Linked DNA regions of Cricetulus griseus. The protein of the gene in region 1 binds, or shares a complex with, the protein of each later gene. Links are inferred from orthologs where the notes say so. Each region holds a gene or a part of one and is shown on either strand. Other genes may lie near its edges.

Region 1 (4,314 bases):
GGTTCTTTCTTCAAGGTTTCTGGACATTTGAGATCGTGTTGGGGAGAGAGATTGACTAGTCTGGCATGATGCTGGATTCTGATCCAGCCTGAGAATGGGGGTATAGTATTCAACAGCCTCTGACACTTTGATTCTGCCCTCCTGGAATGTGGCATCCTACAAATTACATGTGCTCCTGATGTCTGAATGGATGCCTGGTTGAGTGGCAGAATGACAGAGGCCTCCCTGTCATGTGTGTTTTTTCCTGGTTCTGAGCAATTGTAAATTCAGGGTACCAGGTCCTTAGAACACCAAGATTTATTTATAAATTTAAGAACTTTTAGAAATTTGTGGTCATAATAAGTAACATTTAAATCTTACTGTTGCTTAGTCAAAAATTTACTAATATTTACTTATTAGTAAAATAAGGTTTTTATTTTACTTTATATGTATAAGTGTTGTATGTACATACATATATGTGTACCATATGTGTGCCTGGTGCAAAAGACCAAAAGAGAGCATTGAATCCCCTAGAACCAGAATTGCTAGCAGTTGTATGTCACCATACCAGTCAGTGCTGGGAACCAAACCCAAGGCCCCTGCAAGAACAAAGGTTATCTTAACCAGAGTCACATTCTTCCCTAGAATATTTTTATGTCATAACTTTACAAATTAAAGACAAGTATAATGGTGACCTTACTATCATAGGAAAAGATTGTATTAATAGTACATTCAAATATAAAATTTAATAAGGAATAACTTTGTGAAGTATAACAATACAGTAATAATAAATTATAACAAATACAGTTTTTTAGGTTCTTTTAAACAATCTTTTTTATATTACATACCAATCCCAGTTCCCCCTCCCTCCCCTCCTCCTACCCTCCCCACATTCTTCCTAACCCCCATCTACTCCTCAGAGTGTGTAAGGCCTCCCATGAGGAGTAAACAAAGTCCTTCAAACCATGTTGAAGCAGGACCAAGACCTTCCCCACCCCTGTATCTAGGTTGAGCAAGATAACCCTCTATAGGGAATGGGCTCAAAAAAAAAAAAAAAAAAAAAAAAAAAAAAAAAAACAGTTCATGCACTAGGGATAAATCCTGGTCCCACTGCCAGAGGCCCCATATTGTCCCCCAAGCCCCCCAACTGACACCCACATTCAGATGGCCTGGTTCAGTCTTATGCTGGTTCCCCAGCTGTCAGTCCAGAGTCAGTGAGCTCACACTAGCTCAGGTCAACTGTTTCTGTGGGTTTCCCCATTATGGTCTTGATCTCTTTGCTTATATTGTGGCTCATCCCCAGTGCTCAGTTGTGCATCTCTGCATCTGTTTCCAACATATACAGTTTTAACATGAAATTATATAAAAGAGGCATGTGATACGTTTATATACCCTCATTCGTGTTTTAAAACTGTATTAAAGAACACTTATCTTCATTGTATTATTCCCAAGCGTTCTGGGTTTTGTTGTTGTTGTTGTTTGTTTGTTTGTTTTTTGTTTTTTTGGGGTTTTTTTGGATCTTCTAAATGTAAAAAGTAAAGCAACTAGAATCCACCAAAAGTTTTTGAAACATTTCAGAAGTCGGGCCCATTTCCTGCTCATAAACATCCTGTGGTTACATCAAGTTAAACTCCTCAGCTACACCAGAAGCAGTGTGCAGATTCTACTGAGTGCTCTGTTTTCTGTCACAAATTATCTTTATTTTTAATCTATTGATTATTTTCATATATCTATTAAAAACTTCAGCCTGGACCTCAGCCATTTCCTCTTATGGCAACTTTGCATTTTCTCCCAGGTCACCTTCCGAACGAGAATCTACCACTGTAATATCAACAGCCAAGGGGTGATCTGTCTGGACATCCTCAAGGACAACTGGAGTCCAGCCCTGACCATCTCTAAAGTCCTCCTGTCCATCTGCTCACTCCTTACAGACTGCAACCCTGGTGAGTGGCCCTGGATCTGGTACCAGATTGAGAAGCACAAGGTTGCCTTTGAACCTGTTAATGCTGCTAGTGTTCCCTACCCCAGCTGCTCATTATCATTGATTTTAACTTTCCATGCTCTATAACTGTGTTCTTTTTAGATTGGTTCTTTCCATTCACTTCTTTCTGAACCTATTATTTACCAAAAGAAATTTAAAACAAAATATGATAAAAATTAATGAAAACTCATTTTAAATGAGAAAAAGTGTATTTTAGAATGCATTAAATTCTCCTACCACATAACAATAAAAATTCAAATTGAATAGCTTAATCTTTAATTAGATACCTAGTAGACATGTTAATTTGAGAAATGTGGGCTATTAAAATCTCATAACAGCCAAGGCAGCACCACACAGATGTGACCTCCAGTGCAGTAGCAGCCGTGCGCCCTGATAAGCTGTTAGCAAAAAAACTGAATGGATCTAAATCAGGAAGCAGGGCTTGCCAGGAAACTAAGGTGGCTATCGGCATGTCTTGGCCCTCTGCTGAGCTTTGCACTCAGGTTCTCAACTCTTGTTTCTTCCTCTGCATGTGATCATGTGCCTTTGACAACTTTGCTTTAGCTACAGGGCAAGCCAGCTATGAATTGTGCTCATATATGGATTTACTCTGGAAAATACAGAAATCCTAGAGTAGTTTTTGTTCATGCTCTCCATGAAACTTGCATTTTTCAGTGTTTTATTAATTGTCATGAAATCCCATCTCCTGGGTAAGGCCCTTGTGAAATGTTTTTAGTTCACTCACCAGGTAGATAGTAAAGTCAGATCAGATGGCACCATGAGAGTTGACTGTCACTGCAGGCCCATCCTCTCCTGGCTGCACCCATTTCTGCCTGCCACATGTATGACCTTACTTAGAGGTGATGTTGCAAGGAGGCTTTCTTTGTTGTTACTTTTGTTTTGATGATTTTGGCCTTTTACCACAAATCAGCAGTGAACACCTGCTTTCAGAACAGGTCCCCTGAACTCATCCACCTCTGTCTAAAGAAATGGCTATCAATATGTCGTGCTGTTGGAGAGAGGCTGGAACTTTGGTTAATCAGTTGGGTTTTGTTTGCTTGTTTCTTTGATTGGTGTTGCTGTGTCTCTCAAAAGTTTACATTGTCTATAAAACTAAAACTCACCCCTGACCAAAACAAAAGCTCATATTCTGAACCAGGGATGCTGGCCTGCACCAGGTTTGCTGGTGTACTTCTGTAACCGCAGCACTCACTTGGGAGGATGAAGCAGAAGGACTGAGAGTTCAAGGGCAGCCTGAGCTACGTGGTGAGATCCTGTCTGACCCATCTCATCTCCACTAAAGAAATAATGCATTTTTTTAAATACTGGCATTCAGTAGGAATATCAGGGCAGAAAATAATAGTGGTCCTTAGAAGATGAACCACTTTTGTGATAGGAGTCTAAAAAGGGGATTAAGAGCACTGACAGCTCTTCCAAGGACCCTGGTTTTGTTCCCATCACTCAAGCGTCAGCTCACAACCATCTGTAACTCCTATTCCAGGGGATCCAACACCTCTTTCTGGCCTCCTCAGGCACCTGGCATGTAAACAGCACACAGATGTACAAGCAAGAAAAACACCCAAACACATAAAAAATAATTTTAAAAGAGACTAGAACAGTTTGTGATATATGCTAATCATCACATTCTGGTGCGTCTAAGAAGACCACCTGAGTGACACTCCACTGTACAAATGTTGACATTCCTGGGTTCTTTCAGTAGAGTTCAGTTTGATTTTGGTTAAGATTGCATCTTTATAGCCCAGGCCAGTTTTAAACTCACTATGTAGCCAAAGGTAACCTTGAACTCCTGAGCCTTCTCATCTTCCCAAGTGCTGGGATTTACAAGGGTGAGCCATCATCCTGGCTCTGATTCTTAAAGAAAGATGTCACTGAAGCATGGTACCTCATCCCTGTAACTTCGGCATTTAGGAGATGGAAGCAGGAAGATCACCTCAAGCTTGAGTAGTCTGGGCTGTATATCAGGAGGCTGTCTCAAGAATGCTCAGAGCAAGTTATCTACCTTAAACAGATGCAGCACCCAGTCTTTAGTGGGCTTCTTCACTGTTATATGAAGTTATTTTCAACCTCTGTATGATTTTTTTTCTCCCTCAATGTAAGTTGAACTTAAGTCTAACTGTTCTTTAAATTATCAAAAAAGATAAGCTTGGTAGAATATGAATAAATAAGATCATCTTATGTGAATCAATGATGTGTATTTAATGAACTTGAAAGATGCTTACCCTTCTTAGTCCATGGGCTCATCTCTTCATCATTTTCATCTTCCTCTTATAATTTATAGTTGTCAATTTCAAAAATTTTGACCCATTGAAATGCAAATGCCCACAGGTGTGATG
Region 2 (5,078 bases), on another chromosome or scaffold:
GAATTTGTTGCTATCCTGCTTTATTCTCTTAGGTGTTGTAAACACTGCCATGCCCAGATTCATTGTGGCTTTTGACACACATTACTTTTAAAAGTTACATGAATTATTGAGCAGGGAGTACTAGCGCAGGTTTGAAACACCAGTACTTAGGAAGTAGAAGCTTGATTGCAGATTCAAGGCCAGCCTGGGTCTCATCGAGACTCTCCATTTAAAAAAAAATATCTTTCACTGTAACTCAGGCTGGTCCGGAATTTACTATGTAACCCAGGATGGCTTCCAATTCTCAGCAATCCTCCTGCCTTAGCCTTCCCAGTTCTGGGGATTTATTGTATTCTTAAACGGTGAGATTAACAAATAGTTTATTAGTTAAATGCTTTATAGACAATTAAGCAAATAAGGGATTGGAGAAATTGTTAAGTTAAACACGGTGGTCACAAGAAGTTTCTCTGGTAGGTGAGGTGAAGCCTAGATGATTAATACAAAAATATCAAAGAAAAATATTTCATCCTCATTTATGTTTGTTTGGGTTTTTGTTTGTTTGTGACAGGGTTTCTCTATGTAGCACTGGCTGTCCTGGAACTCGATCTGCAGACCAGGGTGGCCTTGAACTCCTACAGACTGGGCCTCCTGTGTGTTGGGATTAAGGTGTGCTCCACCACCACCCGGCTTCCAGCCTAGTTTAAGAAACTGAGGTAGGAATAAAAAGCTATCTGTTTAGCAGAAGACAGGAAAATGGGGATGGTGGCACGGAGACATCCTTAAAACAGGTTTAAGGTTCTTTTCCCCTTTAACTGTTGAATGGGAACTGGGAGCTGTAGGGTGCATTCCTTTCATTCCTTCCCTTAGTCATCAGCAGGTAAGAAAGGCTTCCTTAACCAATCGTTTAGAATTCCCCTATCAGATTTTCCCATCCATTTGCAAACTCCGCCCCTTTAAAGTACTCAAGTTAGAGCCTCGTGGAGTCCTTCCTTAACACTTTTTAACATTGCAAATTGACTTTGTCCCTAAAGTGCACCCCTCCCCCACTTCAAATTGCAGCATTGAGGAACAAATAATGTATTTTAAATTTTTGTTCACTCTAGATTACCAAATCCCGTAGGAACTGAGAATTTCTATTTTTAGACTATTTCAACTTTATTTTGGGTTCAACTTTCTCAACATCTACAGCTGTGCTTGATCTACAGTTGGCACTTGGTAAATACATGTTGAATAAAACGTTGGCTGCGGTCTACACTAGTCTGGGACTGTGTGGATCAATGCCAGTGACATTTATAACACATTCTACTTCTCTGAAAAAGGCTTTGAGCGGCCCGACTGTGACGTCCTTCAGCTTTCAAAATGGGAATGCGAAGGTTCCCACAATTCTCAGAACGCGAATTTCTCGCCACAATTCAAAATGGCGAAGGAGGGTGGGGCCTGTCACATGGTGGGCGTCACAGCGGCAGTTTTTTCCCTACCCGCCTCCCGCCGCGTGCGATAGTCTACCGGTCCCCTCCTCTGCCCAGCAGGCCTTCTCGAGGAATCAACTGGGATTGGCTGGCTAGCAGTCTGGGACTGGGGCCTGTGAAGCGGGGACGCGGCATCATCACTTCCTGTTGTGGGCAGTCGTTTCCTGTCACTGCTAGGTAACAATGGGGAAGATAATGGCTGCTTGAGCTACGTCTCAGATCGAGCTCTGGGTTAGAGACGGGTCTCTACCAGGGGTTCGGAGGCGGGCTGGAGAGCGGCGGCTGCGTGGCAGAGCCCCGGTGAAGGCGGCGGAGCCCAGCGGGTCGGCTCTTGGCCGGGACACCGAGTAAGTGACGGCACGGGCACCCTGAGGAATGGGATGTCGGGCTGGGCAAGGCAGCGGCTTCCAAAATGGCCCGAGTGGCTGGCCGCGGCCGAGACAGCCAGCACGGCCTCCCGACCCGGGTTCGTGGTTGTTGGGGCTTCTATGGCGCAGTCGCCGCTGCCATTTTAGCTGGGTGGTGTGTGGCGGCCGGCTCATCGAAGAGGGGAGGCGGTGGGTAGGACTTCCTCTCCGTGGCCCTGGAGTCGCGGCCCGGCCCTCCCGAGCTACCAACGTCGGAGAGGCGCCCGGCCATCCTGACCTCCGAACGTCTTGGAGGTGCCCGGCCCTCCCGAGCTCCCCTCCCGAGCTCTGAACATCTTGGAGGTGCCCTGCCCTCCCGAGCTCCGAACATCGGGGAGGTTATCGTGGACTTTGGGCCTTGGGCATCAGAATCTCTCCAGTTCTCCTTACTCGGGAGTTTCCCCCTCGTCGCCCCGCGTTGCGGATGGGGTTAGGGTTTGGGGAAGTGGGGTGGAGGTGGAGGTGCTCTGAGTCAGATGTTGGGAACTCTTGGGCCTTTAGATTTTCCCAGGATTCGCAAAGCCCCATTTTGAACCCTTCTGGAGGGCATTGCCAATTAGTTGCCCTCTGGGGCTACGATGACAGTCTTCCCCTGAGGATAGGGGACAAATGTGGTTTGCTTCCTGCCTCCTTTAGCCCCGGTGTATCCTTGGCTAGATAGTACTAGAAGGATTCCCCCCCTCTTCCAAAAAAAAAAAAAAAAAAAAAAAACGGAGGGAAAAGACGTTGCGGGTTGTTTTCCCTGGGTGAGTGTGGGAATTGAGCCAGATTATTTTCAAGTTAATATCCGTGTGATCCGCCAACATTCATACCCCTCCCCCACTCAAAAAACCCCCTAAGGGTCTCGGCTTCTGCGGGCGGTACCTGCCACGTACGCCATAGCTTAGTAACTAGTATTAACCGGTTGGGCTTCTGCTTCCTGAATACTCAGTCCCTTTTCCCCTTATGCTGATTAATTTCAAGATGGTGGAGACAGCCACGTTCTTCCCTGGACAGTTTCACCATACTTATTCCACAGGTTATTCTAGCAGTCTGAGGCCTAGCAGACTAGTTATTAAGGTCATTTTTTTTCTTCTCAGGGGCAAAAAGATTTACATCAGATTCTCATGCACCACTGGCAGGCCCCACGATTTTTTTGGCTAGAAATCAGTTGCTTACATTTCTTGAATCCTAATTAACCACAGTGCGTTTAGATGATTGAAGACAGAAAAAAATAACAAATGTAGCGCTAATCATTTCTTTGATTCTTCATAATTACAAAGTTACTCATCTTCCCGTCAGATCAGAGTCTGGAGAGGAAGCAGGCACATTACAGGTCGGCCTTTTCCTCAAATCAGTTTCTGAAATACAGGTTAAGTATTTAGAAAGACCAACCCAAACACCCTTTAAAGTAACTATTTTAGGGCAGTTTTTCCTGAGAAAGGTCACAAACATTCTTTAGCCTAAGATGTCCTTATGGTTTCTATTACTTTAGTTTCTGCCTTAGGCTAGTTTAATGTACCAAATAAATCCTTGAATCCGAAAATAATTACTAGTCTGATAAGGAAATGGCTGTTTTAAAGAAGTTAATATTAAAAGGTAGATTGCCTCTTGGCTTTTAAAGGAAATATTTTATCTAACTCCTGGTTCCCTCTGGCCTTCTTGGTTCCTAAAATATCCTAATTCTAACATTGAATTAATTTGGGTTATGATTCGTGTAACCAAAATACATATGATATGTGTTTTTAAGAATTTGTTTTATTTCAAAGAAAATGTGGGGTTTATAACAGGAAGAATAATTAATTCTTTTTCTCCTAGAACAGAGTGAAGAAAACTAAAATCCAGTTTATTGGATTTCAGTACTATGTCATAACAGACAGGTAATTATTTTTTGTTTCTTCTCCTGATGGTGTGTATGTAGAATGTATTTACAAATATATGTTGTTGTGTTTTACAGTCCCTGTGGTTGAATGGTTTTTTAGTGATGAGGGTAGGTGTTTTTTTAATGTGAATGCAAAGGGTACCTGAAAGTCACCTATGCTTTAACAGTGAATTTTATTTTTAAAGTAATCTAATATTAGCCAAACTTCCATAGCACTGAAAGAAAAAATTAGGAAGCTTTAAGATATTGTTGGAATGACCTGGGCATATGAAATTGCTTTTAAATATTCAGTGAATAACTAAATGAAATCTCAATAGAATGTGAGTTATTTTGTCTGCCATTTTATTTTTCTCCCTTCAAGATTCAGGAAGCCATATTGGTATGTATTGCTCTGATTAATTCTGTTATTATTATCAACATTGTAAGATGACCACATAAATTTCTTGCACTAGCCAGGGCACTTAAAAGTAAGTGGGACATTTTAAGTGTTCCTAGAAAACAGATGCAAACTTGGGTGTCCAAAGCAAACTGCTGGACAGTTAACTAGGCTACATTTATAATTAACTTCTCTTGAAGAGTATTGCTAGGCTCTGGGTTTGGTGTGTATTATTTTGTAATCCTCACAATAAGATCTTCATGGGAATGTTAACTATTTTAAAGAGGAAGCAGACTTAGTTTGCCTCAGTGGAACAGAGGTGAGAGTTATCCAGTAACTGCATTATTTGGGTGGTTTGTTTATAGTTTCTGTTTCAACTATTATTGCTTCTTGGTGTAAATTGATAAATTTACTTTAAAAATAAGTCTGTCATGGTGGCCCACATCTGGAATTCTGGCACTTAGGGTGGGGTCAGACATAGGAGGATCACCACAATTTGAGATCAGCATGTGAATTCCTAGGCCAGCCAGTTTTACATAGTAAGACCTTGTCTAGGAAAAAAAATTACAAGCAGGACTCTTTTAAAGAAATAGCTCACCAAAATCTTTAGAAATGTTAGGCTGCTGTCTTTCAGTTGTTAAACATTGTAGTAAGGTTTTCAGTAGGAGCAAGTCAAGTAGAACATTTACATTTATACAATTGTGGCATGTGTACTTTTCCCATAATCATACAGGACTGGGAAATAGAGTACCTCACTGAATAGCACCTTGTTCCTTTGATTTACCATAGAGTGGCTAATAAATAAGTCAAAACCAGACCAATGAGGTGCTGCATTTGGGTTAGTGCCCTGGGTGAGGGCAGATTTCTAAATCTTCATGTCCCACTTTGAAGTTTCAATGCTAAGATAGTATAGTTCCATGTCTGTTTTTTCCTTCATTATTTTTTTTCTCGGTTTTGAATAGGGGCGTTTCCTAGATGATGTAAAG
Region 3 (5,012 bases), on another chromosome or scaffold:
ACAGTATTCTGACTGCATGTCTGCTTATAGGCAAGAAGAGGGCAGCAGATCTCATTGTAGATGGTTGTTAGCCACCATGTGATTGCTGGGAATTGAACTCAGGACCTCTAGAAGAGCAACCAGTGCTCTTAACCTCTGAGCCATCTCTCCAGCTCCCTCTGGGCTGTTATGTTAAAGTGATCTATAGATTAAAGCAATCTCTATCAAAGTCCCAATGGCATTTTTCACCCTAAAAATAATATGAAATCTCAAAGAATACCAAATAGCTACGATGATATGGAAAAAAAAAAAACAAAACCACAATTGGAGTGCTCATATTTCCTGATTTCAGAACCTATTACAAAGCAACAACAATAGCATAACCCTTGCATAACCAGGTCAATGGCAAAGAATGGAGTCTCAGAATAAACCATGATTAATCTTATCAACAGAACTGGATTAGAAACCTCTAGGTTCTCTGGGCGTTGGTGCCGCATGCCTTTATTCCCAGCACTCAGGAGGCAGAGGCAGGTGGATCTCTGTGCCTGGTCTCCAGAGCGAGTGCCAGGATAGGCTCCAAAGCTACACAGAGAAAAAAGAAAAAAAGAAAAAAAAAAGAGGAAAGAAAGAAACCTCTAGGTTCTTAACCTGTGGGCCACGACTCCTTTGGTAGCTGAACAATCCTTTCACGGGGGTTACATAAAATCATCAGAAGGCACAGACATTTTCATTATAATACATAACAGTAGCAAAATTATAGTTATGAAGTAGCAACAAAAATAATTTATGGTTGGGGGGTCACTATAACATGCAGAACTGTATTAAAGGGTTACAGCATTAGGGAGGTTGAGAACCGTGCTCCAGGAATCAGTGAAGCATACCTCTGGGTGTCCATAAGTCAGTTCCAGAGACCACTAGATTATGAGGGCTCTGATCTAATCAACGGATTGATATCTTGTGGATTCATAATGGCAGCATTACTGGGAGGTGATGATGGGTAGAAGGAAAGCCTGAGTGGAAGAAGCAGAGGAAACAGGATATGAACACTTGACTTTGGAGGCTAAATCTTGTTCTGACCCTTTCCTTACCCCCCTTTCTCTGCTTCCCGTTTGCCAGACCCTCCCTCAAAATGATGGACTGAGCCCTCTGTAACTAAGACACAGCAAAGCTCTCCTCCTTTAAGCTGATTTCCCAGATATGGAGCCAAACCCTAAGAAGCTCACACATGGGCAAACAGCATTTGGTATTCAGTAAGGCCAAGGCCACACAACAGGAAAGGGGAGTTTCTCCAGCGCACGGCTTCTGGACAAATGGATATCATAAGCAAAAAGAATCTTGGAAATAAAATTACACCCTTATCTTGCACCATTTACAAAACTTAACTCAAAATGAATTAACTAAGTGGAAGACCTATAGCTATAAAACTTTCAAGGGAAACCACAGGGAGAAACTCGATGAAAATGGATCTAATGACTTACGATGTGAAACCAAAAGCATGGGTAACACATCTAAAAGATGATTAAACATGAATACATAAAAACATTATACACTAAAAGTTACAACTAGAAAGTGGAAGGGGGCCAGGCTTGGTGGCGCACGCCTTCAATCCCAGCACTGGAAAGGCAGAAGCAGGTAGATCTCTGTGAGTTTGGGGCCAGCCTCATCTACAGATCAAGTTCAAGACAGCCAGAGTTACACAATGAAACCCTTTCTCAAAAAACAAACAACAACCACCACCACCCCAAAAAAGTGAAATGGCAACCTACAAAATGAACAGAAATATTTGCTGGTCAAATATCTAATAAAGAGTTAATACTCAGCCTATTTAAAAAAACTCCCAGAACCCAACAAATACTCACAAAACCCAATTATTTAAAAATAAATGAATAAATAAATACAGACAGATAAGATATACTTGAAAGACATTTCCCCAAAGGCATACAAATGGCCAACAAAGAAAGTACATCAATAATCATCAGAAAGGAATCAAAAGCTGGGGTGGAGGTGATTCTGGCAAAGGCTCTGCTAACAAGTAGCCCAGATCCTCGGCACCATAAAACAAAACAAACAAAAAGTTACAACATATAGTAAGGGTATTGTTTTGCAATCCTTTTGTTTCAAACTTATCCATGGATAAACTACTCCACAGGATAAGGATCTAAACCGCATGCTGAGCTAGACCTGAGGAGGTCAGACTCTAAACTACTATTCTGGTTGACTTAGGAAAGAACCTTTCCCTGGAACCCAACCACACTCATTCATTTACATATTGCCTATGGCCACTTTAGCCCTAGGAAAGAAGTGCTGAGTGTCTGTAACAGATCACAGACTGAAATATACTATCTGGCCTTTGTAGAAATTAAACTCTTCACCTTTGAGAACTACCTGGGGTATCAACTCCAACATCTTGTCTTTGAAGGCCTTTTTTCACTTCATGAGACCTGATATCCCAACACGGTAGCCACACCTCTCTTTCCCTGCAATTCTCTGTATTTTACTTATATGTATACTTATAGTGATCTCTCTGGGTCAGCTACACACCTCTTCTGTATGCCCACCCCAGTGCTTGACACCTACCAAGCTCCCTTCTTAAACACTGGGCTTACCTCAAGTCATATTCTTGACCAACGTGGGAAAACACAGAGGTACCTTCCTTTTCTCAAATGCATTCTCCCTGGTCCTTGCCTTAACTTTTCCTGTTGCAACCTTAGTGTCAACTTTTGGGAAGTCTTTTTTTTTCCCTACCATCCTCCCTAAATTAGGACTCATCTTTTTCTTGTTCTTTCTATAGTATTCAGTCACAACTTTTATTTGCATGTTCGATTGCATGATTGTGTTTAATGTTTAATTCTCCTCGCTGAACTATACTCTTTCTACTGGAAGTAACCAGGTCTACTTCAGTCACCACGGTATATTCTTTATCTAGCTCTAGGGCTAGCACATGGTAGACGCTTAGGTACGTTCTGAAACGAAAAGAAAGCCAGGCTAAATCGGGTCACTAAATGTGTGAAAGCAAATTGTTAGGGTTCTTTTTTTTTTTTTTTTTTTTTTTTTTTGGTTTTTTTCTTTTGTTTTTTTTCCTCGTTAGAGCAAGTGCAGATGTCTCCTCACTTGGCGACTGCTTCCAAAACAAGAAAAGGATGCCAAGAGGCAGACACACATGCCCAAGGGGCGCCCCCGGAAAGAAAAGCCCAGGGCGGAGCCTTCACGGGCAAAGCCTGGCGCCGGGGCTCCTGGGGCCCGGGTATCATGCGGAGAGGAGCCCGCCGCGGAGCTCCCACCGGCCGAAAAGGACAAGTCCTCACCTGTCGGGTCCTGGCTCATGGGGCCGGGGCAAGGGTCGCCCTAGCCTGCTCGGTGCACACCTCCCCCTGCCCCGCCCACGCCATGCCTCCGGACCCCGGCGTCGGCAGCCACAGACCCCTTGCTTCCGCCGGCTACCGGAAGTGCTGCGCAGCGAGAAGGGAAGTACGGAAGAGCGAGACGCCACCCAGCTGAGGAACGGCGCAGCGCACCCTGGCGTCGGGAGGAGGGATCGAAGGATCGAGGCTGGGTGAAAAGCCCGGAGCCTTCATAATAACGTGAATAGGAATTAAGTTTTCACCGACTTCTCCTGTAATGGTGGAAAATGTGATTATATATGCACCGTGTCATTCTCCGGGCCCGCTGCTATTGGTGGGCACAGAGCATACAATAAAATCTTCTGTACTAAATGAATCCCGTAACATTTTCTGGTCTTTCACTAACATAGAACTTTAATTTCTTACAAGCTATTTCTTCCCTATGAGCCTGTGGCTTCTCCTAGGCTGTCTAACCCTAAGTTGTCCCTCTTTTGGATCATTCAAGTCTTTACATATATGTCATCTTTACGTGTGTGTGGTGTGTGTGTGTGTGTGTGTGTGTGTGTGTGTGTGTGTGTGTGTGTGTGTGTTGTTTATTTTTGCAATGCTTTGGCAGGAAACCAAACACAAAATGTCATCTCTTAAGGCTCCCGTGTCACCAACATCACTATTTCTTCACTCTTGAGTCTAATATCTGTTTTTGTTGCTATGCATTTTGTTTCTCTGCCCTCTGGTAGAATATAAACTGGGGACAGGTTTTTTTGTCTTATTTTCTGTTCCAGGCCCACCTATAACAAGGTTTGCCATCTTACAGAGGCTCAATAAAGAGTCCAGCAGAGGGCCACGAGTGGTGGTCCATGCATATATCCCCAGTTCTTATGAGGCATAGGATATAGAACTGGAGGTCAGGTTGAACCTTGCTGTCCCCACCCCAATTCCCCCCCAAAAAGACTCTGCACACAACACCACGAGGAAAAGATATTGGTTGACTTTTATGAGGTGGGAAAAGGACAAGGGATTGAAGCTAAAGGAAGAAAGGTGACTTAGGGATATAGAGTAGCTGTGAAGAGAAAGATTTCTGGCCCAGTCCTAACATTTCCAAGTTGAGTGTTCTCAGGTGGTGGCTTCAGAGCCTCTACTGCCTTTTCTTGGAAATGATTATACCTGCCCCTTAAGGTTATCCAAAGTATTAAATATGCTATCTTCAAACACCTGAAGTCTTGATAAAACATTACTGAAGTTGTCTGGGCATATTCCTTCTCCATGATGAAACTAAGACCCAAAGAGAGGCATATATCACTTGCACAAGTTCACACAAGAATAAGTGTCAGTAGGGGTAGTGGCACAGATCTTATAGTCCTGGCACTTAGGAAGTGAAGGTAGGAGAGAATCAGGAGCTCAAGACCAGCCTTGGCTGTGAAGCAAGTTTGCCAGCCTTGGCTACATGACACTTTCTCCCAAAGCAAAGCTCAACAAACATGTGGCAGGGCTGTGATTAACACCCAAGACATACATCTCCTTCTTGACAAAGTTGCATCCTCCAGATCAAATTCTGACTCAGCCAAGTGGGTCCCTGTATGATTTCAAGACACATATCTGCTTCTCCAAGTCTGTTTTTCCATCTCTAATGTGCGTAATGTTCTGATTTGGTTATTGAGAGATCAGATAGAAGACTAAATTTAAACTAGCAAC

What was found. The genes of interacting proteins can lie anywhere in the genome.
Region 2: the proteins of Ube2e2 (region 1) and Rlim are in contact, whole or in part, in a crystal structure (PDB 6W9A), measured with the Homo sapiens proteins. The link is inferred for Cricetulus griseus from reciprocal best matches to the Homo sapiens genes UBE2E2 and RLIM. Residues at the interface, in NP_001357154.1 of Homo sapiens: Lys52, Thr55, Lys58, Arg59, Lys62, Pro112, Asp113, Pro115, Phe116, Ile142, Asn146, Trp147, Ser148, Pro149, Ala150, Leu151, Thr152; in NP_057204.2 of Homo sapiens: Ser571, Val572, Cys573, Ile574, Thr575, Cys596, Arg599, Trp600, Pro608, Ile609, Arg611.
Region 3: the proteins of Ube2e2 (region 1) and Det1 are in contact, whole or in part, in a cryo-EM structure (PDB 9BJZ), measured with the Homo sapiens proteins. The link is inferred for Cricetulus griseus from reciprocal best matches to the Homo sapiens genes UBE2E2 and DET1. Residues at the interface, in NP_001357154.1 of Homo sapiens: Ala77, Gly78, Pro79, Lys80, Gly81, Arg88, Ser89, Thr90, Gly101, Val103, Phe105, Phe123, Arg124, Thr125, Arg126, Ser134, Gln135, Gly136, Gln194, Trp195, Arg198, Tyr199, Ala200, Thr201; in NP_001137546.1 of Homo sapiens: Arg258, Phe259, Tyr261, Asp264, Thr267, Val268, Phe272, Glu274, Asp289, Pro290, Phe291, Ile292, His297, Arg298, Leu300, Val301, Trp304, Arg305, Phe319, Phe320, Gln321, Phe323, Asp324, Arg327.

The regions. Positions count from the first base shown.
Region 1 is NW_023276807.1:175,703,431-175,707,744, reverse strand, and holds part of Ube2e2 (ubiquitin-conjugating enzyme E2 E2), read left to right. Parts: intron 1-1,774; coding exon 1,775-1,922; intron 1,923-4,314.
Region 2 is NC_048604.1:66,586,012-66,591,089, forward strand, and holds the start of Rlim (E3 ubiquitin-protein ligase RLIM), read left to right. Parts: upstream 1-1,655; 5' UTR 1,656-1,795; intron 1,796-3,652; 5' UTR 3,653-3,714; intron 3,715-5,078. UniProt on the Homo sapiens protein: E3 ubiquitin-protein ligase.
Region 3 is NC_048596.1:118,770,735-118,775,746, reverse strand, and holds the start of Det1 (DET1 homolog), read right to left. Parts: upstream 3,424-5,012; 5' UTR 3,285-3,423; intron 990-3,284; 5' UTR 875-989; coding exon 861-874; intron 1-860. UniProt on the Homo sapiens protein: Component of the E3 ubiquitin ligase DCX DET1-COP1 complex, which is required for ubiquitination and subsequent degradation of target proteins. The complex is involved in JUN ubiquitination and degradation.